4 linked regions of the Drosophila melanogaster genome follow. The gene in region 1 interacts genetically with each later gene. Each region holds a gene or a part of one and is shown in the gene's direction. Other genes may lie near its edges.

Region 1 (6,370 bases):
ATTGATTATACTTACGCCACAGCACAAGTTTCGTGCTTTTCAGCCGCCCTTTGATGCAACAAAATTAGTTACTGTAACCGACAAACGCAGTTAATCCTTGGAGATGTGCAACCAATACGTGCACCAAAAGTGCATTTGAAACTGTAATCCGTTTAGTTGATTTAATTAAATTTGCGATAACTTTGCCAACTCTAAGGCGAACTTGGGCAGGGTTATTTAAATATTTCGCAGGACCAGCCGGAGTAAGCGAATTCTGACGGCTACCATGAGTGCACCCAGCACCTATGTACATACATAATGCGAGTGCATGCAGCATATATAAATACATATACATATTATATATATACATATATATATTTATATACGGTGCAGGGAGGATAAGGATGCGAGTGCCTGTTTGTGTGTATATAACCCTAAATGGGTCAGCGACAGCTGGGGAGTGGTGTTGGTTCTGGTTATGGAGGGGGAGTTCGGCGGGCAGACGACAACGACGACGACGACGACGACGACGACAGCAGCGACAAATAGTTGTCAGGTAGAGCGAACGTTGCAAGGCCACGCCCACAGTGGGCGGCTCAGAGGGGGGGGGCGGGGGTGGGCGCTTATGACGTTTGTTTTGCTTTGACGCACTCGCAGCCAGCTGACCATCGATGGTTCGCCTTTAACCCCGAATTAAGCTCGATTCACTGGGCACACCACACTGCCCACCTTTAAGGCCTCGATTCGTGCAAATATTCCGCCCATGTTGCAACATTGCTTTATTAAAGTTTACTTATTGCCAATGTATACACATTTTCGACGCTGTAAGACATTACCGCTTTTCTAGTAATACTGGTCGGCATTATAGCCCACCCCCGTCCGATTCAATATTTCCTGTTTGCCAAAGGCCCAAAAATAAGGCACAATATTAAAAGTGTTTTTTCAAACGAAAAACATTTTCGAAATTCATAAATTAAGGCAAAAATTGCTTGGGCGCGCAGCGGAATTGTTTAAAAACGCTCGGAACGAGAATGAAGGCGAAAATAGATTCGTCCAGACATAGACGAACTGATCAAGTTCCCTACGAATAACGAAAACATTTTGCCCCAAGCTAACCCACTGCCCTTCCGCAGTCGCCGTTTTTTCGATTTCCCCCCTGGAAGCCATATTCTAAATTTAAATGGGGAAAAACAAAATAGAAATCATCGAAAATACATTTCGAAATAGAGCTAGAACAAGCCGTGGCAAAATCAAAAACAAGCAACACAAACAGAAACACAAAATGCCAAGAACAACGAGATGAGCAGGGAAAAGCAACATTATTTTCAACAATATTTTGTTGTTGCTCTCCCTGCTGAAAGTTTATAGAATCGGAACATACGTATAGACAGTCTATGTATATCTAAATTCATATACGATATATATATATATATATAGACATGGTTTCGTGATCGAAACGTTTTATTCGTCTTTCGTTCTTGGCGAAATTCGAAAATTACTTTCAACCAAAGTTGCAAGGCGTTTCGTCTACGGGGCGTATGCGTGATTTTCAGTAGGTGTGTTGCAGCGTCATTCGCACCGTTTACCATTATATATAGAAATTTATATATATATACATATATATATATATATATATATGTGTATGTGTGTATTTGGCCATATTGCGTATATACATTATATTTAGACTGACGATGCCAAAGTAATTCAGCTAAAACATTGATATTAACAAGACGGATATAGGCTATATGTTCGTACGATTCGCTTGGAACACATTATTCGAAAGCTTAAAGTTATGTCAGCGGCCAACATGCAAGATAAATAGCCGAACAACATGAAACAGATCGTTAAAATGGTTTTTCTAGATCAAGTCCAAAGTGGCACGGTCTAAGAAAAACCTTTTAAATGAACACAAACGGAATAATTACTTTAAGACCTGGAAATGATATTGGATGGATTAAATAGTAATAATCTTCAAATTAAATAAGTTAAGAATCTATGGGATTCCCCAATTTTATCTAATATATTTTCAGCAATATATGTATGTAAGGGTTATTAACCTATTTTTCTTAAAAACTGCAGTCTTCTAAAGAAAACAGTAATTTGTATTCAGTCAACTCATCGAAATATTAGTTATGTTTATGAGGATAAATGTTCGATAGGAGTTATAAATCTAATCTTTAAAATAACGCTGCATGCACCTATTTTAAGATAATGTTTAGTTTCATTAGTATTTGCTGTTGAAGTAGATTACATTGAAAATGAATATATATTCAATATATGCATATCCCAGCACAAGCTTATTCCCTGGATTTTCCAGAATTAGCATAATATTTTATAGTTTTTTAACCAGGGCTGGCGAAACCAGAGATTGCAGCCAGTCGCCGGCCCTGATTTTTTCATTGCACACCGATTGCACCGCCATCGCATAGCCTCCCAACTGGAGCAACAAAACCTATTTTTATCCATTGCATTGAATTCCAAGCGGCTCCGTTTACACCAGCACACACATCGAACTGCAGATACGATATTGTGAACACCGATGCGGATACAGAGATACAAAGATTCTCCAAGCGGTATTTTTCATAGGGTGGTTTACGGGTCTGCAGTTCCGACGGGGCGGGAGTTACGGGATCGGGATCGCAATCGCAATCGCAATCGCAATCGGATTCGGATTCGGAATCGATTCGGCATGCCACTCGGCTGCGACGATCGTGAGCCGAACACTTTTCGGTATCCATTTCGATTTTGCTTATGGGCTGTGCTCTGCCATGTCAGTTTTGGTGGGATCTATTTTTGGATCTCACGCCCAGATACATAACCCCGGCCCCCGAGCCACTCTCGCTCTCTCTCGCTCTCGCCCGTTCGTGAAGGACGGTGGGCAGGTGGGCGGCTAACGTTTGGCTTTCGGAACATAACGGAACCGAGCCGAACGAGACGATGCGATACGATGCGATCCGATCAACAACGATCCGTATCTGTATCCGTTGGGTGGCTAGCCGCTAGAATATAGTCTGCCGTGGATCGTCGGACCGTTCAGTCTTTTTGTGTCGTTCAGTATCATCCGATTCGTGTGATCGACAGCATAGCCGAATTTTTTTTCTTTTTTTTCTAATTCCTTGAAGGTGAGTGCTTGAAGCGGAGCAACATTCAAAAAGCCAAGAAAAACATCACCATCAACATTGACAACGAGCAACAATGCAAGAACAAGCGGAATGGAAAAACAGAAAACTGCAAAATGCAAAATGCAAATGCTAATGCTAATGCAAAGAAAAACAAATGTGAAATCCTCAGTCCTTTCTCATATGCTATACATATATATATATATATTTATATTTATATGTATGTCTGGACCTGACCAAAATCGTGTGCGTGTGCCCAGAGGATTCAAACATTTTTTTTCAAACAATTTTTTTGCTATTTTTTTTCAAGTGATACAAGTTAACAAGTGTCTAAAACTGCATCGAAATACTTTTCAACATTATTTTGACTTGATTTTGCAATGAATTTTTTTTCACGGATTGGCTTGCCAATTACGTAAGAAGTTGCCGTGTGTGTGTGCGTGTATGCGTGTGTGTGCGTGCCGAAAGCTAAAAATGTATCCCGCAGATACAAGATACATTTCAAAAAAGCTAAAATCGCTCGAAAAGTGCCTGAAAATAGACCACAGCGAGAACAAGAGATCCCGAGAGAGAGAAAAATCACACACACACACGCACACACAGAAAATCATACACTCACACACAGAGAAACAACACGCACACGTCGCCTACGTAAAATAACTGGATAAATGCTCTCCGAACTTTTGGATTTCATATTCGATACGAATATCGTTGCTCCAATTTGACTATTTTTTTTCCGTGAACATATAAACAAATTGTACGGCAAATCATAAATAGCTGCCATATTTCTCGCATCCGAGATTCGTGTATCTATCAACAGGTTTATTTTTAAATCAGTCAGATACTAGATACAGTAGATGCCATCCCACTCGCTCTCATTCTCAGATGTATGCCGAGTGGAGACATCGACTATGCTTAAATTCGTTGTGCATTTCTCGCAGTGTACATAGCCGAAGGTCGTCATTGTCAGAAAATTTTCACGCCTTACCTTCGCTAAGGTGCGCAAATTGCTGGGGCTAAATATACGCCTAGCTCCCTAGCAATTCGTTCTACTAAGCCATATGGCTTTGTAGGTGTGAAAACCCCAAAATATACAACTTCTTCCAAAGGATATAAAATCTATAACGGATCTCCTTTTGACTCATTGTACATTATTTTAGTTCATTGCTAACAGCATAGATAATTTGTTTAACGATTACTTTCAACGCTAGTAGACTTTTTAAAGTTATATATGTACTTTGTGAGGTGTTAATTCTTCGACTTCATTTCAGTAAAAATGTATACATATACATACTATACGGATAGGCTAGCAAATAAATTCTGATTAATTCCTCAAGATGTAGACATGGTTTTTCGTATGATGAAATCTCATAATGTTTACTTAAAGATTCCCAATATGTTATTCAGCATAAAATGTATTTTTAAAATGCCATTACAACGATCAATCATCTGATCAAGTATGCATATGTAAAAGTTACTTCTATACTAACGATTTAACTTTTAGCTTGATTAAAACGAAAACATATCGTAGGAAAGTTTCCATTAACAAAATCAGCTGGCTGAGATCGGTCAGTTGGGAAATGCTATTCTCTCTTTGCTCACTTGAAATCGGATATCAAAGAGAGCAACTAGAAAAGCCACAAAGCAATACAGTTGTCTTTTTCTGGCAGCTAGACGCCCACGCCAAAGTAAATGTGCGAAAGAAAGGCTAAGCGAAGAGAGCGGGAAAATGAGCGTTTGCTGGGGTTGTCCTCCCATATACGGCGTGAACCAATGCTGCGTATACGTAATATGCGGCATATGCCAGCAATATGGCGCATACGCACTGTGGTACCCCGGTGAGATCGTAGGCGTGTGCGAATGGGAGAGAGAGCGACTGATTTATGGAACATATATATATATATATATAAACACATACTTATATGTATATACCTACATATAGCCGTGTATATATAGGGCAATGGAAATGATGTCATCGAACATTTCCATTCACCATTCACCATTCACCATTTGCCTCCAGTTCCAGTTCCTTGAGTTCACCTCTCGATTTCTCTTACTTTCAGTAACCAAAAACACAAATCAAAATGGCTGATGATGAGGTGAGGTGAGTATCTCCAACGGCCCCCTTTCTACCGCCTTTGAGAAACGGTTGATTAACCTTTGACCCTCTTCTTCAGTTAACTATTTTGGGGCATTAATCGCAAGCACTGTTTTGGAAATTGGAAGTGATTTGGACGGGATTAAACCTGACTGGATGTGGATTTAGGTAAGCAAAGCTCCCGAACAATCCAGAAGCTTCAACAGCCCCCCACTTGCAACCACGCAACATGCAACCCAAGCCTTTCTTTGCCTTTCTCTTGCTTTCACAGGATCGCTGCGCTTTGCAACCCTCTGAATCCCAGCCATTTCTTCCTTTCGATCAAGGAGCACAGATAATGATAACTGTCAAGTCTGACTGAAAGCCATGTCTGTTATCGTTAGTGTGTGTCTATGTCTCTGTGCCTTGCTTTGTCCCTTTTTTTGTTATCGTCGCGTTTGTGCCTGGAGAAATTTGAGATCTATTTAAAGTAGTTTAAAATCAATGAAATATTACAACCAATAAAACTTGGCTGACCATTCTTATATAATTTAAATGAGTTTAAAACCTATTTGATTACTTTAAATAATTGTGGATGATTGAGAAATGTTAATAGTTCCTTTGAAGTTTAAGCAATTTTCTCCTAGCCTGGCGTACTTTTTCGATTCCTAGAACTGCAACTAACCAGCAATCATTTAACTTGATTTCAGAAAAAGGCAGCAGCTCCGGCCGCAGCTCCAGCGGCGGCGGCCAAACCGGCGGCTCCGGCAGCAGCCCCGGCGGCCAATGGCAAGGCTGCTCCGGCGGCCAATGGAAAGGCTGCTCCGGCAGCTGCCGCCGCTCCCGCCGGTCCGCCCAAGGATCCCAACGACCCCAAAGTGAAGGCCGAGGAGGTACACTTGTGTACGTGTGTGCCCGTTCAACTTAACGTCCATGTCAAAGTCCAAGTCTCGTGCTGTGCAGTGCTGTGTTCGAATATCATATCTAGTGTTGTGTCCAGTTTTGGATGTGAGCAAACCATGCTGATACCCGGATTGTTCGTTCATTTAATTTGCAGGCTAAGAAGGCTAAACAGGCTGAGATCGAGCGCAAGCGTGCTGAGGTGCGCAAGCGCATGGAGGAAGCCTCCAAGGCCAAGAAGGCCAAGAAGGGTTTCATGACCCCAGAGAGGAAGAAGAAACTCAGGGTAAGTTTC
Region 2 (8,804 bases), on another chromosome or scaffold:
TCTAGTAGCCTGCACTTTTGATTTGTGTGTTCGTAGATGGATAGTTTGTAGATTGATTTTGATCGCGGACCAATTAGAGGGAAGCATCGATGTAATTGTGTATTTGTTTGACTCAAACGTTTTTTATTTATTATTTGTATCCAAACTAAGCAATAAAGCAATCAACTTAAAAACATAAATCCCTATAAACTTGTCACATTTATTTTGTTTATTCCACCTGCTGCAGACGAGGTGAGCAAAGGTAAGGAAAAGTACAAAACCATCGCCCAGGAACTGGAGTACGCCGATCTCAACAACTACTAAGGGAATGAAATCCACTTCATGGGGAGATGAGCAGCAATCACTATGATGAAGACAAATGGAGTCCGAACGCATTCGACGTCCGAATTACAAATTATTTTTAGCATAACACTTCTTCGCCTAAGCATTCCCAAAAAAAAAACAACTTTCTTACATAAGAGCAAGAGTTTTACAATAAAGTAAAAAATACATTTTTAGCAATTACTATTGAAATTTATATGGAGCCTAAAGTTAAAACGAGTTGTGTAACGAAAAGAAACGCTGCCATTTTCCTTGAAACTAAAATTCCAGCTCGAAAAAGTATGTGTAATATTTTGAATACAAAACCCCAGAAAGCCCACCACTCAATATCGTTAATCAGCATCTTCAAATAAAAAACTCAGTTACGCTTAAGCCAGAGTCAATTTTTCTCAACTTTCTGTTGCTTGTGTGTTTTTATGGCAGTTCGCGAAGTGTATCTACAAAATTTCTATGGCCTTTGTATATGTTTAAACAACAAGAATAGGAGATATATTATTAGAATATATAAACGAAGACATATAAATTAAATTTACACATTTGTCATAGCTTTTGTAATTCTATGAAGCGTGCAAAACAAATATAACAATGTATGTATTTTTCTTTTTCAACTCAATATTTTTACGATCAATAAACTGAAATCATTCTTTTGCATATAAAAAATTTCATGGATTTTTTATTTAAACGGTGGGTTGCATTAGTTAAATAATAAAAATATGCACTGATCATGAATCGAATATAAAGGACATAAAGTGTCCTGTTGGTTTCAATCTGCCGGAATATTGTGTATCCTTATTAAAAGTTAATATTGAAATCAAAATCAAATCATGCTTATATCCCAAAACTTATAGGATGTTTTTATTTGTGTTGGAATAACCATATTTGTCACATGTGTGATATTTTAACTCAACATTAAATATTCTTTGGAGCTACATATATAAAAAAAGTTTAAAATAAGCTTAAAGAAGAAGGGTTTTGAAAAATCGAATTTGAAAACTGAATACGTTTGCTCGCCAATTAGTTGTTTTTGAACAGTTTTGAAAATATGAAGTTTCAAACATTTTCCTAAATCAAGAAGAGCTATAAATCAACTAAAATTTGAAGTTATAAAAGTCTATAAATAAAGTGCACAATATTATTGACTTATGTAGGTTTGGCTTTTAAGTAAAATTTATTGCTGAACGAGAATAAAAAGATCGGGAGTACATATAAGTGTAATCCAGAGACTATGAGACATTTGGTGGAATCTTCTTGATATATAATAGTATTAAAGAAGATGTTACGTCACAGAAATATTGAAAGAAGAAGAAAATTGAACTGGATTTTGAGATGAATTGCTAAATGGATTTAGCGAGGTCGGACATATAAATAAAACCCACCATATATATTTATCTTTTAAATATACCTATATAAAAATATACATATATCTATAGAATTTCTTAGTTTAGAGTTTTGATAACAATTTTTCCATATCGTTACTTAATTGGTTATTAAAATAAATAAATTATAGATTTTATTCTTCAGTTATATAGTAAGTTAAGTGGTTTTGTTTTAGCAAAAAATCGAACGGGGACAATTAACACACAAGAAAATCGGATCAATTGCCTTGCATTCGAGACTTTCGAAAGCAAAAGAACGGCAGGAAAACGCTGGCCGATCAAAATTCCAAATATTTCTCAATATTTTTTTACCGAGCGAAAATAGATTTTCATCTTGTTGGACTTTTGCTCTTGCTGCTTGTGGCTATTTTTGGCCGTGTATCTGACGGATACACGCACACACACAGACAGCGAGAGTGCTGTGAGTAAAATATAAATTGAATTTAGATTTAAGAAGCAGAAAGAAAAGCGCATAAATTTCACGAGAATGCAGCCCAAAAGAGAGAGCATCGTATGAAGCAGCTTTTGGGGGAAATTTCGAGGGAAATTTTCGAGATCGCCGAGCAAAGTTGCGAAAGCGCCATTCCACATATACATTTATTAATGGGAAATTTTTGAGGCGAGAAATTATTCAATACCGCGTTGGTGTGTGCCCTCAGTGTGTGTGAGTTTTTCCGATTTTCCGAGTGGCAGTGTGCGTGTGCGTTGGATCTTGGGGTCGCTTTCTGGGCTAAGCAACTTGGTCAGCATCAGTGTTCTCGGGGTTTCGACAGCGTATAGTGTGTTTGAAACGCTAAGGTTGGTCACGCCAGGATTTTCACCCGACAAGAATTAACTCAAAATAAATATAATTAAATCGCTCGCCTTTGCTGCTAACCAAATTGGTATTTTCAACTGGATTTCGAGTGGATAACAAAATTGTGATAAGTGCATGGCATTCAAAATTATAAATTTTGAATTTTCCCCAAACGGGAAAAAAAAGGAAAACCTTGTTAAACTTAAATAAAATGTGCATATGTATATGTGTCAATTAGCCTGGATATAAAGTTCTACAAAAAGTTAAATGAGTGATCCAAATGTAATGGAAGTGAAAATTGCTATAACTAAAAAAATGAATATCTCTAAAAAACTTAAAATGAACGATCTAAACTACTTGAAAATGGAGATCTTATGATCATTTTTCGGATATTTTCAAAATTCGCTTATAAGGAATTTTGTAACTAAATCTGACGGCACCAATACCATCCAATAAATATCTGTGTGTGTGTGAGAGAATTTTTTTTTGCACACACACACATGAGCTTCATTCGGAAAGCTCTACACGAATGGGACACATATACATATGCACCTTACACACTTATGGCACGCACAATTTTCACACACACAATCACACTCGACCGATAAAGTTTTCCTCGAAGAAAATTCTTTAAAATTAACTGCAGACAGACACCTGCCTGTCACACACACACAGACATACGCATTTATTTTTAACTCTGCCTGAAATTTATACGAAAAAGCTTTTCCGTCTAGCTTTCTGTGATCTCAGAAAACGAAGGCAGTCGAGAACTATAGGTATTTATCCTTGAGATTGTTTTCGAGAGAGATATTTTGGAAAATATTAGAGACGTAGACGATTCCCAGATGCGGATACATATGGTATCTATCTGGGAATATATATATTCAAGGCATAGCCACCCACACAGAATTGTAGATTTCAGAGCGAATATTTCTAGCCATTCGTGAATGCGTCCGAAGGCCGCAAAATTTGCCATCTTTAAGATACATATTCGAACTGATTGAAAGCCCAAGTACCTTTGGCAATCACCAAAAATTTTAATGATGTGAAAACTAAGTAGCTATTTAACATATTATAAGTTATTTAAAGTCTTTAGAAAGAAATCCTTTTTACCTCATAAATCACATATTAAACATTGCTTATGTTTTTTTGGGTACAAAACACACATGAGTATCGCAAGACCTCCAAAAGATCAGCAACTACAACATAAATGACTTTGCCCCACTTTGGGTGGTAGCAACATAGATACACGAATTCGAATACGAATACGCCCACACACCAAATGACCCCAAAGAATTGAATACTTTTCAAATTGCAATCGGTGGCGAGCTATGTACATATATATGTGGGGTATTTCGAAATAATAGGGGGAAACTCTAGAATTACATTTAGCACACAATGTCCAAAAAAGCATTTCTCCTATGCGTGTGTGTGCGAGTGGACTGGATATTTTTTTCTCACATGCAAAAGCATATAAAGTTTATTTTTAACCCCACCGAATCGTGCAGCAAATAAACATATAAACATATAGCTCACCGACGGATCCGGATTCGGATTTTGAGTGGGCGTTTTGAAAATGGAAAATGAAAATTACGTGAGATCTTTTGAGAATGCTCGGCGTAGCCGCCAAACAAAATGTGTTTACATTTAATTCTCAAATTTATTGCACGAACACATATGCACAGCATATAGATATATACAATTTAATTATACCTATGGATAACCTATAGAATGCGCCTGGATCGTTTAAATAAACCGATTTTGTCTTGCAGCGGAAACATAAAAATTCTAGAAGTCACAGTAAAGAAACAAAAATGTATAGTCAAAAGAAAAATCCAAGTTCAAAAAATCTGTAATTTATGAAAGGAAATAAACATTGGAATATCTTAGGACCAACGTATATATGTTATAATATATTATTAAGCGGTTCAAAGCTACAATTAGATTTAAATAAAAAAGTCATACATTTTATTAATTATATAATATTATTATTATTATATTATAGTATATATAATATTCTATGCCTTATGAAAATTGCTCCTTAAAAATTGCACATTAAGGATTCAGTTATTCAGCTTACTCATTTGTATTATTTGGCACAGTGCTTTTTTCCAGTTTTCTTCCCTTGTAAGTCAAAAACAAAAACACAAACACCATGGACGCCATCAAGAAGAAGATGCAAGCGATGAAGCTTGAGAAGGATAACGCCATTGACAAGGCCGACACCTGCGAGAACCAAGCCAAGGATGCCAACTCCCGCGCCGACAAACTGAACGAGGAGGTGCGCGATCTGGAGAAGAAGTTCGTCCAGGTGGAGATCGATCTGGTTACCGCCAAGGAGCAGCTGGAGAAGGCCAACACCGAGCTGGAGGAGAAGGAGAAACTCCTGACCGCCACCGAGTCCGAGGTGGCCACCCAGAACCGCAAGGTGCAACAGATTGAGGAGGATCTGGAGAAGTCCGAGGAGCGCTCGACCACCGCCCAACAGAAGCTGCTGGAGGCCACCCAGTCGGCCGATGAGAACAACCGCATGTGCAAGGTGCTGGAGAACCGTTCCCAGCAGGATGAGGAGCGCATGGACCAGCTGACCAACCAGTTGAAGGAGGCCCGCATGCTGGCTGAGGATGCCGATACCAAGTCCGACGAGGTCTCCCGCAAGCTGGCCTTCGTTGAAGACGAGCTGGAGGTGGCTGAGGATCGTGTCCGCTCCGGCGAGTCCAAGATCATGGAGCTGGAGGAGGAGCTGAAGGTGGGTCCTCAAGAGAAATCCTTCTGTTCTCAAACCACTATTCATGGTGTATTCCCAACTAGGTTGTCGGCAACTCCCTGAAGTCCCTGGAGGTGTCCGAGGAGAAGGCCAACCAGCGCGTGGAGGAGTTCAAGCGCGAGATGAAGACCCTGTCCATCAAGTTGAAGGAGGCCGAGCAGCGCGCCGAGCACGCCGAGAAGCAAGTGAAGCGCCTGCAGAAGGAGGTCGACAGGCTAGAGGGTATGTATCCAACTTCCTACGCCCCTGGCACATTCACTCAGCCATTTTCCGCGGAGGTATCTCTCCACGGGACACCGGAGATGCTGTCCACCGGAAGTGATCCGCCTCGAACGGCCGGATCGCTGGCTTCAACTAATGCTCGCATTGTATTTATCGCCATAAGGATATTAATAATTGTACTTAGTACTCTGCTTTCATTAATTGACGTTCCACATTCACACATCTCGCTCGCTCGCCCTTTTTTTTGAATATCTCTCTATATATATATTTGTATAAATGAACAACAAACAAATGCTTTTTGCAGACCGTCTCTTCAATGAGAAGGAAAAATACAAAGCAATCTGCGACGATTTGGACCAGACATTTGCCGAACTTACTGGATATTAAAAAAGATCACAAACAGAACTCACACAATGCCCTTGCCTCCCCCCCCCCCCAACCGCCCCTTGCCCAACTCCCCCAAAAAAAGGAACACTCTCAGTACATCCCGAATCCCACACAGTTTATTATATATATATATATATATTCTATATTATATTTTTGGAACGATTCCCCCAACAGTTTCAGTGTATTTACCACCCAGCCCAACACGCCACACTTATCTATACACTGTAAATAATCTGTTTAGTCCCGCTTGAATGTGGCCACACCCACACGACCAGTTCCCTACGCCAGTACACTGTAAAAATAAGTTCAGATCAAGCCAAACCAAGTTGCAACTGTAGTTAATACAGGTGAATTTATCAATGTAAATATTGTTGTTTGTATGCCAGATTCTTACCCGTTGTGATGTGGCATGACCTCTTGACCCGTCTCGCCTTCGCACTCTATCTCAGTCTATGTCTCTATGTCTCTCTCTCTCTCTCTCTCTCTATCGTCTCGTCGATCATCAGTGGCTTTCGTTCGAGCCAATTTCGCCCAGGCCTTGGTCGAGGGATTCTCTCAAGGATTGCTGCAACGATTGGTTGGATAGATCATGTCCACATCCCGTAGAGCACCCCATAGATAGTCCTGTCCCCCACCTCCCCTGAAAACCCACGCACAGAACCGCTGACTAACCCAAAAGATCAAAAGATAGAAACGCCTGCCAGAACAGCGCGCCACTAATCCTAATCAATAACTCCATAAACTTGGTACACATGGTGTAAAGTTTGAGTGTTTTTCGTTTCAATTCCAATGTTAAAAAACCATATTTTTGAATATTTTCTAACGCATTTCCAACCACCATTTGCACTCCGCAGACGAGTTGGGCATCAACAAGGACAGGTACAAGTCCCTGGCCGACGAGATGGACTCCACATTCGCCGAATTGGCTGGCTACTAAGTTGGCCAACAGTCCCATTATACCAAATCCACACCAGCAGCGGAGGAAGATGGAGACGACGACGAGATGGAGAACTCTACTAATTGTAAACGAATATCTCAAATTGATTTGGCCAACACGAAGATCGGCGGCCGCAGATACCAAGAACAACAACCATTGTGTATGCAATTCTTTATAAATCTATATATTTCATAATAAATAAATAACAACAACAAACAGATCAACAACAGCAACAAAGCCAACGAGCATAGAAAGCAAATGGAAATTCTTTTGTTTTATAAAAAATAAAATTATCTAAAGTCAAAAGTAGCAGAATGTATAAAGTAAACAAAACGAAAACAAGAACACGAATTTTGTATTTTTAAAATCAATGTTTAAAAATATTAAGAAGCGCTTGCAGTCAGGCAATAAGAGCGAGAGAGCTAGAGAGAGTGCCCAGGAAAGAGACGGGGCTAAATTTAAAATTTTAAGATCGCGCTGCCTGCTTTACTTTCAGTTTATATCTTACAATTACACCACAAACAAACAAAAAAACACCCACAAAAAAAGTATAAAAAAATTTATAAAAACTTTGCTAAAAAAAAATTATATGTTTGATGTTTGCTTTCAATGATGCACAAAACCGAATTTCTTTGCCCTTCAGCGAATCGCGCTGAAGTTCACTACATTTTTGGCGGATATGCAAAGTAGTCTTCAGTTTTTTCCACCGATTTCTCATACTCTTGGGAAACCCCATGGATGCTGGGCCGAAATAACCAAGTCCGAAGTGCGTCACCACTTCATCGGAGATGGATCACGATCCGCAAATCGAGGCCTTCATTGCAACATCTTTAGCATCCGCGCTAATTGTCAAAGCAATGAATAATGAAAGTTCAGTTATCTGTATATATATGGCATATATACACATCCTCAGGGTGATTTCCAGATATGAATTGTAGATGTGGGCAGCTCGCCGTTTTGACCATCAATAAGTGAGTTAAGGCCGCGTTCGACATGTGGGTCTGTTGCTCTCTTGGCCAAATGGACTTTCTTGTAAACTGAACTCGAATTGAATTTCCATTTCTCCTCGCTCTTCTCGCGACGTTGGCCATAAAATAGTTATTAAATCGTTAAGTGGTGTGTTAAATTACCCACTTAAAGCGCCAGTCATTATTTACATAATTTACATTATGGTATATGGAAGCTGGCAGATATGTTCATCTTATGAAAAAAAAAGAAAGAGTCATTTCGAGTTTAAAAAAAAAAACTTTTGTTTTTAGCTTTTAAAAAGAAATATATAGAGAACGGTTGATATTTTAAAAGCTGTTATCTTTAAGATAGAAGTTGAAATATGAATGATTATTCCATGTTTATATTGCCCGGGGAGGAACTAGAAAATCGCCTAAGTTACTTTCTTAGTTAACCGCATTCAGAAAGTCATTCCTCACAAGTCGAAGAACACCCAAATGAACATGGCACATCCAGCACACCAAACTCCATTTCATTCAAGTTTAAGCCAGCAGTTTTCGCTTCAATTGACAGCCGCGTCAATTACCTAAGTCTGGGCCAATTTGGTTGGAGTGCAAACAAACAGTGGGTCGGACCGGGCCGGTCCACAAAAGCGGCGAGCGGAGCAGTAGAGATGCCGATGAAAAGCCCAATGACTTACATTTGCCCACCACAGCCAAGCGAAGGAGAAAGTGAAATTTTGCATTTCTCGGCGGCCGGCAGCAACAACAATGGGTCTTCGGTCTGGTTGGGTCTGGTCTTGGCCATTGCCATTGGCATGGTATTGAAGCGGTGCGACGGTAGCAGGGAAGAGGGGAAGGAAGAGGCGATCAGCGAGCGGAGCGGACCAGGCCCAAAGTCAAGCGCAGAGCTTCAGTCGTGGTTTTCAGCTCGACCCAAGCGAACGGACGTCTTTGAACAGCGGACGCGGCATAAACCGCACGGAAAACGCAACGAAATCGAAAGTGTTCACCACGCGACTGGAATCGCCAAGTGCTTAGCGAGGCGGGG
Region 3 (9,091 bases), on another chromosome or scaffold:
GTAAGCCCGGTTTCTCGCACTGTATGCTATACGTGCCCAGCTACTTTGACTACGTACGGATACGCAACCATTTCAAGACCGAAATGGTCAGTTTTGTGCAGATAAATGAGTACACCAAGAAAGAAAAGATTTCCCGGGCGAGAGATATATTCTTCCACAGCGGGGCATCTGTTCTGTTGTACTCGGAAAGAGCGCACTTCTTCCGGCGCACGCGGATTAAGGGCATCCGGAACTTGATCATGTACCAGCCGCCCAACTTTCCGCACTTCTATTCCGAGATCATCAATCTGATGCTGAAGACAAATCAAAATCCGCGCGATGGATTTGGGGACGAAATGTCCGTCAGTATCCTGTACACAAAGTACGATCTGCTAAGCTTGAGTAACATTGTGGGCAGTGAGAATGCTGCGAAATTGACTTCTGGTCAAAAGGATTCCTACCTTTTCTCCACCAAAACGTAAATGCTTACACGAGAGCTGACTTTGAAATATGTACATATTTAGTTGTCAATTAGAATATACTAAATGTTAACGCAAGTAAATAGTAATGTATGTGATAACTTTCAGTTGTGGCTCTATTTTTGGACCTAAATACTTTCGTGACGTAGAGATTTTAGGAGGAACTGGCTAGGTGATTGATCTGATGTTAAGGGTGGCGATGTCTTCTCTTTGTTATTACGCAATTTGAAATTATGAAAAAATGAATAATTGGCAAATGGTTGTGTAATAAGAGGCAGCATAAGTAGTGTTTTGCCGATTGATGAAATGATTCAAAATGCATTTGAATTCAATATATTTTGCCTGTTTTTACTTTAATATCCCTTTTTTATAAAGGAAGATTGGCCAGAGCATTATGCAATAAAAGTTATCATTTATAAGGCAATTAAGTGTTAAAAAACATTATTTTGCAGTTTGTATTTGTTTTTAAATGATCACTTCGCTTGATTGCTTGAGATTGCTGGAATCTGGAACCATTACCATATACCGAGTTCCTAAATAGACAATATCCAGCGGTTGACAACCGCATCAAACCCAGATTTGCCAGTCCCAAAATAAATCAAAATTCCTGGCTGCATTGTCATTTATCAACATTTTTAAATATACACATAGGTAGCTTATAAAAGTTCTGGCCTAGACATATAGAGGTAAAATAGTAGCCAAATGCATATTTATGGGGGTCTCTGTGAAAAGTCGTAATAGCTGCTGCACAAGGCGGATGGCTGATGGCGGATATCATACGGCAGAAACGTGTGCGGAGAGCGCTCTTGCCAATATCTGAGAGTCCGAGTCCGTAGGGGCATTACAAGCCTATAAATAAAAATAGTCGACGGCTGCCAGTCTCTGCTGAAATTGGGGAAAAAGGCAGAAAAGCCAAACGAAGAACTAGGGGTTCGCAGGCCGACTGGTGGATGCTCTTTCAGCTGTTAATGGATCGAGATCAACTAGATTGAGGAAATGAGTATTTGGGCTGGGATTTGGGATCTGTTGTATTTGCCAAGGACAAGTAAAATATTCAAAGGGCAGCAGCTATGGATAACTATGATGGATTCTAGCTCGGCGAAAGTGGAATGCGTCAGTGCCAGTGCCATCATTCCCAACCATCCCCCCACCAAAGGACCCAAGTCTTGACCCACTTGAAGTGGCTGACACCGAAGGTAGAAACACCTTTGAGTGACAAACCCTTCCACACAACCCAGCATAATTTCCCCAGATTGGTTTAAAAATACCACTTTCTAAATATTAGACAAACACACGTGCATTTCTCGGAATACGTCTGCACTCACACTCCCAGGCACATCCACATCCACAACCACATCCACGTCCACAAGTGATCTCGCATCGCCACATTGCCATTGCTCTAGACTTTCGTGGCCGTGCGCTCCCGCGGATCCGAGATCGGGCGGCCATATGTACGTATGTATGTATGTGGATGGGGAGCTCGTGTGCCCGTGGTATTGTGGTATTCCCACCTATACCTAGCCACATATACGAATCTCTGGGGGACCACGGTGAATCTGCCTCGTCGAGGTACGAACGAGCTGCACGAGCAGATCTGAACCGCCACCATTCGAATTCGGATCGCATTGGATTGGATTGGATAGGTGGTAAGTGCTCAAAAGTTTGTGCGTGCTAAAAGTATTTTCCCGGGCCAAAATAGAGAGTGTATGTAGTTTTGGGAATTTTGCCAAAATATATGAATTTTGTAATTCAAATAGACACTCTCATCGCGCAGCGTTCTCCTTGCGTTCAGTTGCCGTTGATCGTTATAATAGCGCGATCTTTGTGTCTTGGTCTTCCGACTGAAATAAATTATTATATAATAACGGAATTTTTGCTAGGAATAATAATTGTAAGTTTTGTTGATTTTCTGCAACAACTGCAAAGCGAATACGCCAGTGAATTACTCCAAACTGCCAAAACCATTGGGTAAAGCAAATAAACCCCCCTAAAAACTATCGAAAATTCGTCCGCGCGCTTTCAAAAGAAAAGAAAACCTGGAAACCAAAAGTTATTGAAATGCCTACATATCTACATACGAACATGCTTCTTACACTCGAAAACCGTGCTTCAAACTCAAAGTGTTTGCCCCCAGTTTACTTTGCCACCCTGGAGCTCGTCCAGAGCTCGTAGTTCGATCTATCTACATACATGAAATATCCGTAAGGGCGACGATTCGGCGGTGACCTCGACCTCCGGATGGTATCGAAAATTTGAATGTCACCAATACGAGAGCACTCCACGAATAGATTCGATCCGACACAGATGTAAAGTTTTCCAAGTGCCCGAGATCTATGTATCTGTGATTGAAAATCTGGTTATGCAACCACAACCGCAACCGTGGCGAATATATTCGTACCCAAATTCGAAAGATCCATGTCTTGTACTGTACCTGTAGCCCTTGTAACAAGCATAGAACACACGATCTCTTGAACTCCTTAACTACCCGCATTCATAGCTTAATGGTGGTTACATCGGTTAGTGAATTTGACTGCCTTTCAGTTGCAAAAGATCCCTGAAACCAACAGACAGTTTTACAGAAACGTGTAGCTCTATAAGTACATTCAGCCCAGGATCATGGCCCAATCATTTGTACTTATTTTTGAACCCACCCACCCACTATTATACAACCCATCGGTGGACTTGTCAATCAGAAATTCGGATTCGGGGACGTGGGAAGCAGCATATCGCACAAGTGTCGACATCCATTAGCATGGAGATATCTCTGCTCGCAATATCATAAGCCGTTAAATCGTACATATAACCGCGCAGAATAGGAATCTTTCTCCCTACGATCGTCTCTCTGTATATGTACTCAAACTTATTTATGTGGTCCTAGTACATATCTTTATATCTACGAGTGTTCAGAATTGAGCTGTATTTTTCGGGTGCTAGGACTCTATTTTTAGCCCATCTCGGACAGAGGCGATTTTTTGCTCCATAATGCACACACACATGTGTATTTTAGGGGTATATATAGGCTATATGCATGAAGATGTTTTCGAAACACACGTCTCTGTGCTCAAAATATAAGTAGTATTCGAGCGCATTGATTGACAGTTTTTTGAAAACTAACGCCTTTTGTGGGCGGGCAACTGGTGGAAACCTCGTTATCAGAAGTTACGTATGTAATTCTGTGACGTAGCCAGCGTAATATTCAAGTATTATGCGAGTTGGCTGCCGTTCAAAATTCCCCGTATGGCCTGATTCTAGTGTCTGGTCGCGAAAAAGATTAAAATTAAAATTTAAAAATGTCGCTGCTGGCGAATACCTGGCACCCAGATCTATTTATTGCGGGCTCTTGATCTCGATCTCATTAATTTGAGCACAAAATGCGCGAAAAGAATAGTGTTGCTTGTTGTGTGGCCAAAATAGTGCGGATGTCTCTGTCGCTTGCCAAGTGAAAATATGACAATGTATAAATAAGTTTAAGCATTCGTGATAAGGATTTCAGTTCGATTTACACCACAGAAGGGAGTAAAAACATTTGGTTTTCGATCGCAATAACAACTTGATTTATAAGGTTAGAGGTATTTTCCAATAAAGAAACTTTCCAGCACAGCTGAATTCCTTCGAAACTTTGATTAGTTTTAAATTCCTATATCACCTCAGCTATCGGTATTACTGAACACGGAAACTCAACAGTTAGCCATCGCAGTTGAGATTCTCAGTTATCGATAACGCCGGCTATCGCAGTTTAGTAGCACAAATTGAACGCGTCAGTAGAAGCTGAGCTAAAAGGTGGGATAATTATCTAATAATTGCCAGGACTGAGAATTCTTAAAAGTTGGAGAAAGAGGCAGCTCTGCACAAATAACGTAACTCGGACGATATACGTTTTCAGTCAGCCCTGTCTTGTGCGAATAATGTCGTGTCATAGTGAGGCAGAACGGCGATAGGCAGTAAATCGCGGCTTGGTACTTAGTGCAATAGTTATCAGCACACATATTCAGAAAAAAGCGCCATGGGTTATATTATATAGAGAGTCAGTGGAAAAAAGTACTTAACACACGCAGTGCGTCGTTTAGCGAGGTTAACGTAGGAGCAGAGCACCCGTATTACGGACCAGATCCCCCAATCCCCCGCAGAAACTGAGAATAGAAAAACGAAAACTGCGTCTGTTGTGCGAAGTGACACGTGTGTGAATCTCATAAGCGGAGCGATTTGGCCAGGGTAACAGCCCATCATAGTAATGCAATATTCCAGCATATTCTCCGACCCGATCCGCACAATCCGATCCTAAGTTGGCGCGATAACTGCGCGACTTTAGTGGCCAGTCCGGGCCCGATCAGAAGTGCCTGAAATCGGGGAATTAGCATGTAGCACCTGTGTATGTGCGTATGTTGGAAAGTACCCGTGAGCCGAGTGCCGTGCACATGCACATGTACGACCACTTATTCAGAACCTAATGAGGTAGTTTTAACTGCAAACGTACATGCCAGTACAGATGTATGTGCATACATACGTGCATACACACTTGCTATTCCAGTCAGTCGTTGAATAGAGCCCAGAAAACGGCAAAATAGCTAAATAGCCCTGCCAGAGAATTAAAATGAGCCCCTTGCCTTGTGTCTACTTTCAAATCCCCACCTGAATCGCCCCGGAATCTGGACACAGGCCACTGAACGAAGAGGATAACGAATCAAGATGGAAGACGGTCACTCGAAAACCGTCGAACAGTCCCTCAACTTCTTCGGAACGGACCCCGAGCGCGGCTTAACCCTCGACCAGATCAAGGCTAACCAGAAGAAATACGGACCCAATGGTGAGAGTCGCGCGTAATTCCCCTCCACATTCCGAGACCGAATCGACTGACGTGTTTGTTTTCTTATCGTTACAGAGTTGCCGACTGAGGAAGGTGCGAACACAACCCGAGCAGATCCCCTGCCCCCCACCCCCACTTCACTGTATGCATACATTATAATAACGATTGTATTCCACAGGAAAGAGCATCTGGCAGCTGGTCTTGGAGCAGTTCGACGATCTGCTGGTGAAGATTCTGCTGTTGGCAGCCATCATCTCATTTGTAAGTGCAGCAGCACAAAGAAACCCACCCTCAAAAACTTAGTTACGACCACACTCTTCCCCTCTGCAATCCCCAGGTTCTCGCCCTGTTTGAGGAACACGAGGAAACGTTCACTGCATTTGTAGAGCCCCTAGTTATTTTACTTATCCTGATAGCCAACGCCGTGGTGGGAGTATGGCAGGAGCGTAACGCCGAGTCGGCCATTGAGGCCCTCAAGGAGTACGAGCCTGAGATGGGCAAGGTGGTGCGCCAGGACAAGTCCGGCATCCAGAAGGTGCGCGCGAAAGAGATCGTGCCCGGTGACCTGGTTGAGGTGTCTGTCGGTGACAAGATCCCTGCCGATATCCGTATCACCCACATCTACTCGACCACCCTTAGGATCGATCAGTCCATCCTCACCGGTGAGTCGGTCTCCGTCATCAAGCACACCGATGCCATCCCCGATCCCCGCGCCGTCAACCAGGACAAGAAGAACATCCTGTTCTCCGGCACCAACGTCGCAGCCGGCAAGGCCCGTGGCGTCGTCATCGGCACTGGCCTGAGCACCGCCATCGGCAAGATCCGTACTGAGATGTCCGAGACCGAGGAGATCAAGACCCCCCTGCAGCAGAAACTGGACGAGTTCGGTGAGCAGCTGTCCAAGGTCATTTCCGTCATTTGCGTTGCCGTGTGGGCCATCAACATCGGCCACTTCAACGACCCCGCTCACGGAGGCTCCTGGATCAAGGGTGCCATCTACTACTTCAAGATCGCCGTCGCTCTGGCTGTGGCTGCCATCCCCGAGGGTCTGCCCGCCGTCATCACCACCTGTCTGGCTCTGGGCACCCGCCGCATGGCCAAGAAGAATGCCATCGTCCGCTCCCTGCCCTCCGTGGAGACCCTGGGCTGCACATCTGTCATCTGCTCTGATAAGACCGGCACACTCACCACCAACCAAATGTCCGTTTCCCGCATGTTCATCTTCGACAAGGTTGAAGGCAACGACAGCAGCTTCCTCGAATTCGAGATGACCGGCTCCACCTACGAGCCCATCGGCGAGGTCTTCCTCAACGGTCAGCGCATCAAGGCTGCTGACTACGATACCCTGCAGGAACTGTCCACCATCTGCATCATGTGCAACGACTCCGCCATTGATTACAATGAGTTCAAGCAGGCCTTCGAGAAGGTCGGCGAAGCCACTGAGACCGCCCTGATTGTGCTGGCTGAGAAACTGAACAGCTTCAGCGTGAACAAGTCTGGCCTGGACCGCCGCTCGGCTGCCATCGCCTGCCGCGGTGAGATCGAAACCAAGTGGAAGAAGGAATTCACCCTGGAGTTCTCTCGCGATCGTAAATCCATGTCCTCGTACTGCACCCCCCTGAAGGCTTCCCGCCTGGGCACTGGCCCCAAGTTGTTCGTGAAGGGCGCCCCCGAGGGTGTTCTAGAGCGTTGCACACACGCCCGCGTTGGCACCACCAAGGTTCCTCTGACCTCGGCCCTGAAGGCCAAGATCCTCGCCCTGACCGGCCAGTACGGTACTGGACGCGACACCCTTCGCTGCCTGGCTCTGGCCGTTGCCGATAGCCCCATGAAGCCCGACGAGATGGATCTGGGCGACTCCACCAAGTTCTACCAGTATGAGGTTAACCTGACCTTCGTCGGTGTTGTGGGCATGTTGGATCCCCCCCGTAAGGAAGTTTTCGATTCCATTGTCCGCTGCCGTGCCGCCGGTATTCGTGTTATTGTGATCACCGGCGACAACAAGGCCACTGCCGAGGCTATCTGCCGCAGAATCGGTGTATTCGCCGAGGATGAGGACACCACTGGCAAGTCCTACTCGGGTCGTGAATTCGACGACCTTTCCCCCACCGAACAAAAGGCTGCCGTCGCCCGCTCCCGCCTCTTCTCCCGCGTGGAGCCCCAGCACAAGTCCAAGATTGTTGAGTTCCTGCAGAGCATGAACGAAATCTCCGCTATGACTGGTGATGGTGTGAACGACGCCCCCGCCCTGAAGAAGGCTGAGATCGGTATTGCCATGGGCTCTGGTACCGCCGTCGCCAAGTCTGCCGCCGAAATGGTGCTGGCTGACGACAACTTCTCCTCCATCGTGTCTGCCGTTGAAGAAGGTCGCGCTATCTACAACAACATGAAACAGTTCATCCGCTACCTCATCTCTTCGAACATTGGTGAGGTCGTCTCCATCTTCCTTACTGCTGCCCTTGGCCTGCCCGAGGCTCTGATTCCCGTCCAGCTGCTCTGGGTTAACTTGGTACGTCTTGATGGGGTATTTACTACTTAAAATGGTTAGTAATAGGTACTTGGTCACAGGTTACTGATGGTCTCCCAGCCACCGCTCTGGGCTTCAACCCCCCTGATCTGGATATCATGGAGAAGCCCCCCAGGAAGGCCGATGAGGGTCTCATTTCCGGATGGTTGTTCTTCCGGTGGGTTACTCAAAAAGCACACATCCTTTAATCGGTATTAACTTGGCCTCAATCGAACTTTTAGTTACATGGCTATTGGATTCTATGTCGGCGCTGCCACCGTCGGTGCCGCCGCCTGGTGGTTCGTGTTCTCTGATGAGGGACCCAAACTGTCCTACTGGCAGCTGACCCACCATCTGTCCTGCTTGGGCGGTGGCGACGAGTTCAAGGGCGTTGACTGCAAGATCTTCAGCGACCCCCATGCGATGACCATGGCTCTGTCCGTGCTGGTGACAATCGAAATGTTGAACGCAATGAACAGGTGAGTGAGATAACGAATGATGGACGGCACGATAGATACGAACCGATCGCCTTTGTTTAAACAGCTTGTCCGAGAACCAGTCGCTGATTACCATGCCCCCATGGTGCAACCTGTGGCTGATTGGATCAATGGCACTCTCCTTCACTCTTCACTTTGTTATTCTTTACGTCGATGTCCTCTCCGTAAGTATTTGGCAATGATAAGCCCTTCTGCGCCGCGGAAACTAATGCCAGTATCGTTTTACCCACAGACCGTCTTCCAAGTGACACCGTTGTCTGCAGAAGAATGGATAACTGTGATGAAATTCTCAATTCCTGTAGTTTTATTAGATGAGACATTGAAGTTTGTTGCTAGAAAAATCGCAGATGGTGAGAGTCCTATATATAAGATGCATGGGATTGTGTTAATGTGGGCTGTCTTCTTTGGCCTGCTGTACGCTATGATGCTTTAAGAATATAATTATAATCCATAAGCCCAACTTCATTATTCTAATTTCTAGTATAAAATGTTACTAAATATAAACAGAAACAAGAACCCACAATTATATACATCTAACGTAACGACTTTAACCCCATGAAGTTTGTTCCCAACTGCAACTACTGATTTCCACCCGGTGTCACAGAATTGACTGGTGGCACCAAAAGATGGGCCGACTGACTCGCTCCTGGCTTTTGGCTTTGAACAAACAGCGTTAAATGATCAATATTTTCTATGAGCTAACGATTTATCTAACACGCGTATACCCTACCCTATAGATATCTGTGTTTGTATATTACTATATTAAATTTAGCAGGATTGCTTTTTGTACATACAATGCTCTATATACATAAGAAAGTTCCACACC
Region 4 (6,670 bases), on another chromosome or scaffold:
GTAGGACATATGCGAGCTGGAGCACTTGCGTAAGCTCTTCATCGGCGGGCTGGCCCCGTACACCACCGAGGAGAACCTGAAGTTGTTCTACGGCCAGTGGGGCAAGGTGGTCGATGTTGTGGTGATGCGCGATGCTGCCACCAAGAGATCTCGCGGCTTCGGCTTCATCACCTACACAAAGTCTCTCATGGTCGACAGGGCCCAGGAGAACCGTCCGCACATCATCGACGGCAAGTGAGTATAGACTTGGTGGGGGATCATATCGTACCAAGAATAGATCTATACCATGAGGCCTTTCGCTTCCAGAACTGTGGAAGCCAAGCGTGCTCTGCCCCGTCCCGAACGCGAATCGCGCGAGACCAATATATCCGTGAAGAAGCTGTTCGTAGGCGGTCTTAAGGATAACCACGATGAGGAATGCCTTCGTGAATACTTCCTCCAATTCGGGAATGTAGTCTCCGTTAAATTGCTTACTGACAAAACCACTGGCAAGCGTCGCGGCTTCGCCTTCGTCGAGTTCGACGACTACGATGCAGTGGATAAGGCTATCCGTAAGCATAAAAGCTAAAATGCTAAATATTAGATTGATATTAATTATGAACCTTCATCCCGTTTAGTTAAAAAGCAACATGCGATTAAGTACGTTCACGTGGACGTCAAGAAGTCCATTTATAACCTGGACAAGAAGGAGAAACAGCAGCCAGGTGGGCTGGCCAACGCCATCAAGCCGTCGCTCAATCAGCAGCAGCAACAGCAGGGTGGCGGACAGCAGCCACCTAATGGCAATATGCAGGCACCTAGCTTTCGACCACCAGTGCCGCCACAACAGGCCATGGGCCCCTACCAACAACAGCCACCACCGGCGCCTATGTCTGCTCCACCACCAAACTTCAACTACTGGGGACCACCTCCGCCGGCTATGCCGCCCTACTACCAGCAGCCACCGCCGCAGCAGATGAACGGCTGGGGTCCATATCCGCCGCCGCAACAAAATGGCTGGAATGCACCACCACCGCCACCACCGGGTGCCCAGCAGTGGCACGCCAACCAGTGGGGTTGTCCTCCACCAGTGCAACAGGTGCCGCCGGTTGGAGCAGTGCCACCACCCATGGGTCACAATGGACCACCGCCGACGGCTCCAGGTAACTGGAACATGCCGCCCCCAGTGCCGGGTGCAGCTCCTCCATCCCACCAGCAGCAGTCTTCGCAACAGCCAACACCACAACCAAATTTCGGCACTGGCTATCAGCAAAACTACGGAGGCGGACCATCCAAGCACAACAATATGAATGCAAACCGCATGAATCCTTACTCGGCAGGTCCGCCCAACAGCTACCGTAGGTATAATCCATTATTAAAGACATGTAATTTTGAACAGCTACTAATTGTAGACACTCCTCAACCACCAGCATATACGGGCTACAACGCTGGACCACTGCCGCCTAATGGAAGCGTTCCGCCGCCAACTGGGGCCAAGGCTGTTGGCGTATCCAATGGCTCCGTGGCCACTGGAGGCAGTGCCAACAGCAAATATCGCCGCTAGATTGGGTGAGTAGCCGTACCCGCCATTAGTCGTTTCTTTTGAATGTGGTCTATGCATAAGAGCTACCTCAAATACGTCTTGCCACGAATATATCCATATACGCATATATTACTCGCCATTGATGCACTACGTCTGAAGTACTTGTTTATGTGTAATTACTAATGTCTAAAATTCTCTTTGATTTAGATGCTCTTTGGGCGGCTAAAGCTCAAGAATCAAGACACTCTTTAGTAAGCTCGTTCATAAGCTAGGCCACACTCGCTTAGAGTTACTAAGCAGGAAACTTAACGCATTGTCTCTCTATCATAGGACAACTAACTACGATTTTACTGTACACTTAAGCTATACCATTGATTACCCTACGATTGACCTAAGCTATGGCAGACTATATATAACTATTTTATACAACGTATTGCGAGGAGCGAGCACTTCTCCAGTTCGAATTACTCTAGACATAATTATGAAACTCTGTATCGTAGAAGAATGCCCAAAATACGATACGAAATTACAACAGGCTCTCTATTTAAATCTAAACCTCTCTCTCTATCTGTAAAACAAGAAGAAGGATTGTGCAATGGTGGAGGATGGAAGAACAATTGCCAATCAAGATCAATTAATTAGACATAAATCACGGAGCTGTAGCCTGAGCTTATTGGCCCAAAACAAGTAGTTTAATCGTAGATGCCTATGTATTACCTAAACCATTCAAATAAGAAGATACGTCCAAACAAAAAAAACACAAGAAACAAGAAACAAGAATATAAGAATCCGGAGCGAAGTCGGATCCCAAATCAAATCAAATCATACGCAGGGCTGGCGGGCGTGGCCTTAACTATTAATGTACACAAGAGATGATATCAAAACAAATGTCAATTTTTACAAGAAGCAAGAATCGGACACTTATATACTGTATTAATGTTAAAGGTTTCTTATCTCGTCGCCCACGATGTTAATTCATATACTACATATATCTCTTCTTATTTGTATATCATGACGAACTCAAAGAAGTGTATATACCCGAAAAAAATGCGAAGAAAATGTATATGCTTTCGGATTAACTAGACTTACGATTTATTCTCGACTCTCTCCTATTATTAAGCTGTTGTGCACGCCAAGGGCTTTGAATTGATCTTTATATATAATGCAGTACTGAAATAAGAGAGGTCTAGTCCACAATTTGCAAGATTCGTTATGCTGCATTATCGAGATACAATTTATCACTTAACCGAACTCTATGAAAACCCATACGCATATTTATTTTAAATAAATACAAATTAAAAACAACACTATGTATTTGTTTTAGCTGACGATATGTAAGTCTCTTTCTCTTTAGCGATAGCATAAACTATATTTAGTTACCGTTATGCCATTCTAGATACAAACAAATATCGCTCTAATTTTAAACATACTCTACTCTACAAAATACTCTTGAGACAAAGTTAATTCGTAAGGTAAGTTAGTAACGGATCTCATCTAGGATAAACTAGAGTTTTTATAAGTGCTCTTAAGTTTCTAACTTATGTGTATCTTGTTATCGAATCTTTATTACGCTTTTCTAAGCAAACAACCTATTTCTTTTCCAAAAAAAAAATAAACCCCCGGAGCAACGCTGGAGTGGCCTATTTCAAAAGACCAAGGCTCAAGTTTCCCATAAACTATGAGGTACGTAGAAGAGGACACGATTTATTTTATGTGTTGAAAAGCAAGAAACCAATAAAAAAGAGCTGCCAAAATCGAAGCAATCAGTGTTTTTATTCCAAGCGAACATGTTGGGAGCCAACACGTTGGAGGCGACACCAAAACCATGGGCAGGCAGTGCTCCATGCTCCACTTTGGCGATCCGTAATCATTCCGAAGCTTTTCCACAGGCAAACAGTCGCCTGCCATCCGCCAACGCGATTAGACATTTGAAGGGAAACACTTTTTCATTGAACGCACAGTGAGTACTCACGCAGAGTGAAACAAAGGATTGAGTGTCGTAATCGGATTAACAAAACAAGTGTGTGACATATGCAGATACAGATACTTTGCTTGTTCCTCAAATTTCTGCAAGCTCAGCTCTGGCTCGAGTTGCTCAAGTTCAATGTTCCTTGCTCATTGGCAAATAGTCAATCAATTGGACTTTATTTTCGATGAAATCAGTTCGTTAATTGGTCAGAACTGAGAAGCAAAAGTAAGTCCAGTGATTTGCAAGGTCAACTGTGAATTGCACTTCCGCCAATTCAAGTAGATTGTATCTGCTTTTGGTCCACTTTCATTCGCGATGCATAAACATTGCATCTTGGACACTGCATCACGTCATTGTTTCTAGTTTCGTCGGCATAATTAAACAAACACATGTGGAAGTATATATTGCATTGTATACATAGATATATATGTGTGCAACATGTGGAATGCACTGCAGCAGCATCCCACTCTCGGATATTCCTGGAAGCTCCATTCCGCGAGATCGCGTATACATTTCTCAATTGCCAGATACATAGCTGCGCATTTGACTTGATGTTCAGCGGCACAAAAGCGACGATTAAGCACATCTTGCTTGTGCTACCCAAAACGGAAGCGACCGACCGATCCTGATAAGCGGCGGTGGGGCCAAGTCGGGCTGGAACCTGATAAGCCAACTGTGTCGTTGGGCAACCAATGATGTGCCATATATGCCATATAGCACATGTACTAAGATTGAGCATAGAACTGGGGCGACATCTTGAAATGATTACGAAAATTCGGCTTGAGTTTAGCCTGTGTGTGTGTTTAGCAATAGGATTAAGGTCAGCTTTAATCAGGTATATTCGCATTAATGGGAGCATCTGCATATATAGATGATTTCATAAACGATTTGAACTGCTCAACATGTGTTCAACATGCCCCAAATTCTGAAATATTCAAACATATTTCAAATTTGCGGTTGCAAAAAGCGAGAAAAATGCTTATTTGCAGCAGGCAGCAGGAAATGAAAAGCAAACATTGAAAATTCTGAGATTTTATCCATTCCCCCGACTTTGTTTCTATTTTAAAAACTCCAGATCTGCAGTAGTCATCTTCCGCCATCAATGAGTTGGCTTTGTTGTTCCACAAGATCTAAAGATCCATAAATAAAATTGCCCATAAAAGGAAATGCATCTGTATCTGCGCGCCACATTCGCGTTGACCTTTTGAACCCTGCAAGATTTTTGCGGCTTCTTCAATTGTTTTCAATGAGCAAAAAGACGCCGCACGAGATGTGCATGTAAAACCACCCCGTTGTTTGGTGGTTACAAGATCGCCAGTGGAGTACAGTAACGACGCAGCGCACACGGTACAGTCGCAAACCAATCCTTGAAACGGAAGTTGGGCCAGGGCCACAGCTAATCTCAATGTAATTTGGGTTTTCACAATCGCAATGACTTGATAATGTACTCTATTTATAAAGGCACTTTTAGTTCCAAATATATAGTTTAAATATAAAGAGAAGAAAAAGGTGTTTTAAAGATGCTTTACTTGCAATCCCTGTAGTTGAGATCGCCATTCGAGATGCGCTCCCTTTGGCTGCTGCTCGGCTTGGGCCTGCTGGCTGTGAGCCACGTCCAGGCCTCTACGGAGTTTTCCGAAGATCTGCTGGATGAGGACCTCGACCTGTCCGACATCGATGAGAACGAAGAGGAGTTCCTGCGCCTGCTGGAGGAGAAGAACAAGGCATGTGGCCGCAAGTCAAACCACAAATCACACTTAATGCACTAACTGAATTCCATTCGCAGATCAAGGATATTGAGCGCGAGAATGAGATTGCCACCAAGCTGGCCGAAGTGCAGCACAATCTACTCAATCCCGTTGTCGAGGTGGATCTGTGCGAAACGATGAGCTGCGGAGCCGGTCGCATCTGCCAGATGCACGACGAGAAGCCCAAATGCGTGTGCATTCCGGAGTGCCCGGAGGAGGTGGACACTCGCCGCCTGGTCTGCACCAATACCAACGAGACCTGGCCGTCGGACTGCTCTGTGTATCAGCAGCGCTGCTGGTGCGACAGCGGCGAGCCCGGCTGCACCAATCCGGACAACGCGCACATGCACATCGACTACTACGGCGCTTGCCACGAGCCCAGGAGCTGCGAGGGCGAGGACCTGAAGGACTTCCCCAGGCGCATGCGCGACTGGCTGTTCAACGTGATGCGCGACCTGGCCGAGCGCGACGAGCTGACCGAGCACTACATGCAGATGGAGCTGGAGGCGGAGACCAACAACTCGCGTCGCTGGTCGAACGCCGCCGTGTGGAAGTGGTGCGACCTGGACGGCGATACCGATCGCTCCGTCTCGCGCCACGAGCTCTTCCCCATCCGTGCTCCGCTGGTCAGTCTCGAGCACTGCATCGCACCCTTCCTCGAGTCCTGCGACTCCAACAAGGACCATCGCATCACCCTGGTGGAGTGGGGCGCCTGCCTGGAGCTGGATCCCGAGGACCTCAAGGAGCGTTGCGACGACGTCCAGCGGGCTCAGCCCCATCTTCTGGGTTAGGACACAGCCCATTTTCCATATCCACTTCTGTAGTATGCAATAGGTAGTTACTACTTGCTTCCTTAATCCGAAAAATGTCTAATTTAGCAGTTAATTGTGTAAATGCTCGCTATTCAATGAAATATATAACAACTTCTTTGAAATAATACGCATTTTGAAAAACGTCAGGTCAGTCTATTCATTATTATCTTTCGGATGAAAAGCTACAGTTGTGATATTTTGCTCTAGGCATTTACACGTTTATTGGGCTTACAAATACATTGGGTTCGAGCTGCTAAATGCCCTGATTAAAACTGAACTTTAAGCGATACTACTGCACTTTTCTCACAATTATGAAAAACTTGTACTTCTTACAGCTGAAATTAATTACCATCTATGTAGTTGCAATTCTTTACATTCATCGACACAAGCGCAAACATCTCGTCTAGTTTTTTTTTTTTTTTTTTTTTTTTTTGGAAATAACATGATTGGCGTTTTTATTATAGTTTTTTTTATTAAATTTATTCGTGTAATTACTTTGCTCTAAATTAAGTTTTGTTTTTGTTTCATACTCAACCTCGCCAAGGATGCGTGCGGGTAAATACGTTTTGTGTGTTTGTATTTTTTGTTTGTATGTATGTGAGTGTTGGGGAGATGCTAG

Evidence for each region.
Region 2: of wupA (region 1) and Tm2, changing one suppresses a phenotype caused by changing the other (phenotypic suppression), as found in Drosophila melanogaster (one study listed by BioGRID).
Region 3: of wupA (region 1) and SERCA, changing one suppresses a phenotype caused by changing the other (phenotypic suppression), as found in Drosophila melanogaster (one study listed by BioGRID).
Region 4: of wupA (region 1) and SPARC, changing one suppresses a phenotype caused by changing the other (phenotypic suppression), as found in Drosophila melanogaster (one study listed by BioGRID).

The regions. Positions count from the first base shown.
Region 1 is NC_004354.4:18,113,438-18,119,807, reverse strand, and holds the start of wupA (wings up A), read left to right. Parts: upstream 1-2,982; 5' UTR 2,983-3,101; intron 3,102-5,073; exon of another isoform or gene 5,074-5,161; 5' UTR 5,162-5,182; coding exon 5,183-5,197; exon of another isoform or gene 5,198-5,202; intron 5,203-5,275; exon of another isoform or gene 5,276-5,364; intron 5,365-5,885; coding exon 5,886-6,068; exon of another isoform or gene 6,069-6,078; intron 6,079-6,232; coding exon 6,233-6,361; intron 6,362-6,370. UniProt on the Drosophila melanogaster protein: Troponin I is the ATPase inhibitory subunit of troponin in the thin filament regulatory complex. Involved in the development and maintenance of muscle and nervous system. May also be involved in the cytoskeletal apparatus.
Region 2 is NT_033777.3:15,307,805-15,316,608, forward strand, and holds Tm2 (tropomyosin 2), read left to right. Parts: upstream 1-2,440; 5' UTR 2,441-2,495; intron 2,496-2,872; exon of another isoform or gene 2,873-3,269; intron 3,270-4,230; exon of another isoform or gene 4,231-4,390; intron 4,391-4,571; exon of another isoform or gene 4,572-4,595; 5' UTR 4,596-4,648; coding exon 4,649-5,242; intron 5,243-5,304; coding exon 5,305-5,482; intron 5,483-5,786; coding exon 5,787-5,869; 3' UTR 5,870-6,216; intron 6,217-6,723; coding exon of another isoform or gene 6,724-6,806; 3' UTR 6,807-7,393; downstream 7,394-8,804. UniProt on the Drosophila melanogaster protein: Tropomyosin, in association with the troponin complex, plays a central role in the calcium dependent regulation of muscle contraction. May also regulate motor systems required to maintain nuclear integrity and apico-basal polarity during embryogenesis.
Region 3 is NT_033778.4:23,928,838-23,937,928, reverse strand, and holds SERCA (Sarco/endoplasmic reticulum Ca(2+)-ATPase), read left to right. Parts: upstream 1-2,044; 5' UTR 2,045-2,104; intron 2,105-2,248; exon of another isoform or gene 2,249-2,349; intron 2,350-3,844; exon of another isoform or gene 3,845-4,020; intron 4,021-4,188; exon of another isoform or gene 4,189-4,238; intron 4,239-4,484; exon of another isoform or gene 4,485-5,114; 5' UTR 5,115-5,144; coding exon 5,145-5,262; intron 5,263-5,337; coding exon 5,338-5,355; intron 5,356-5,440; coding exon 5,441-5,523; intron 5,524-5,599; coding exon 5,600-7,771; intron 7,772-7,830; coding exon 7,831-7,946; intron 7,947-8,010; coding exon 8,011-8,247; intron 8,248-8,311; coding exon 8,312-8,429; intron 8,430-8,497; coding exon 8,498-8,698; 3' UTR 8,699-8,814; downstream 8,815-9,091. Other genes in the region: CG3735 (uncharacterized protein), read left to right, coding at 1-461. UniProt on the Drosophila melanogaster protein: This magnesium-dependent enzyme catalyzes the hydrolysis of ATP coupled with the transport of calcium.
Region 4 is NT_033777.3:26,868,738-26,875,407, reverse strand, and holds SPARC (secreted protein, acidic, cysteine-rich), read left to right. Parts: upstream 1-3,412; 5' UTR 3,413-3,482; intron 3,483-4,840; exon of another isoform or gene 4,841-4,898; intron 4,899-5,035; 5' UTR 5,036-5,053; coding exon 5,054-5,215; intron 5,216-5,277; coding exon 5,278-6,030; 3' UTR 6,031-6,170; downstream 6,171-6,670. Other genes in the region: Rb97D (ribonuclear protein at 97D), read left to right, coding at 5-234, 307-551, 618-1,337, 1,392-1,543.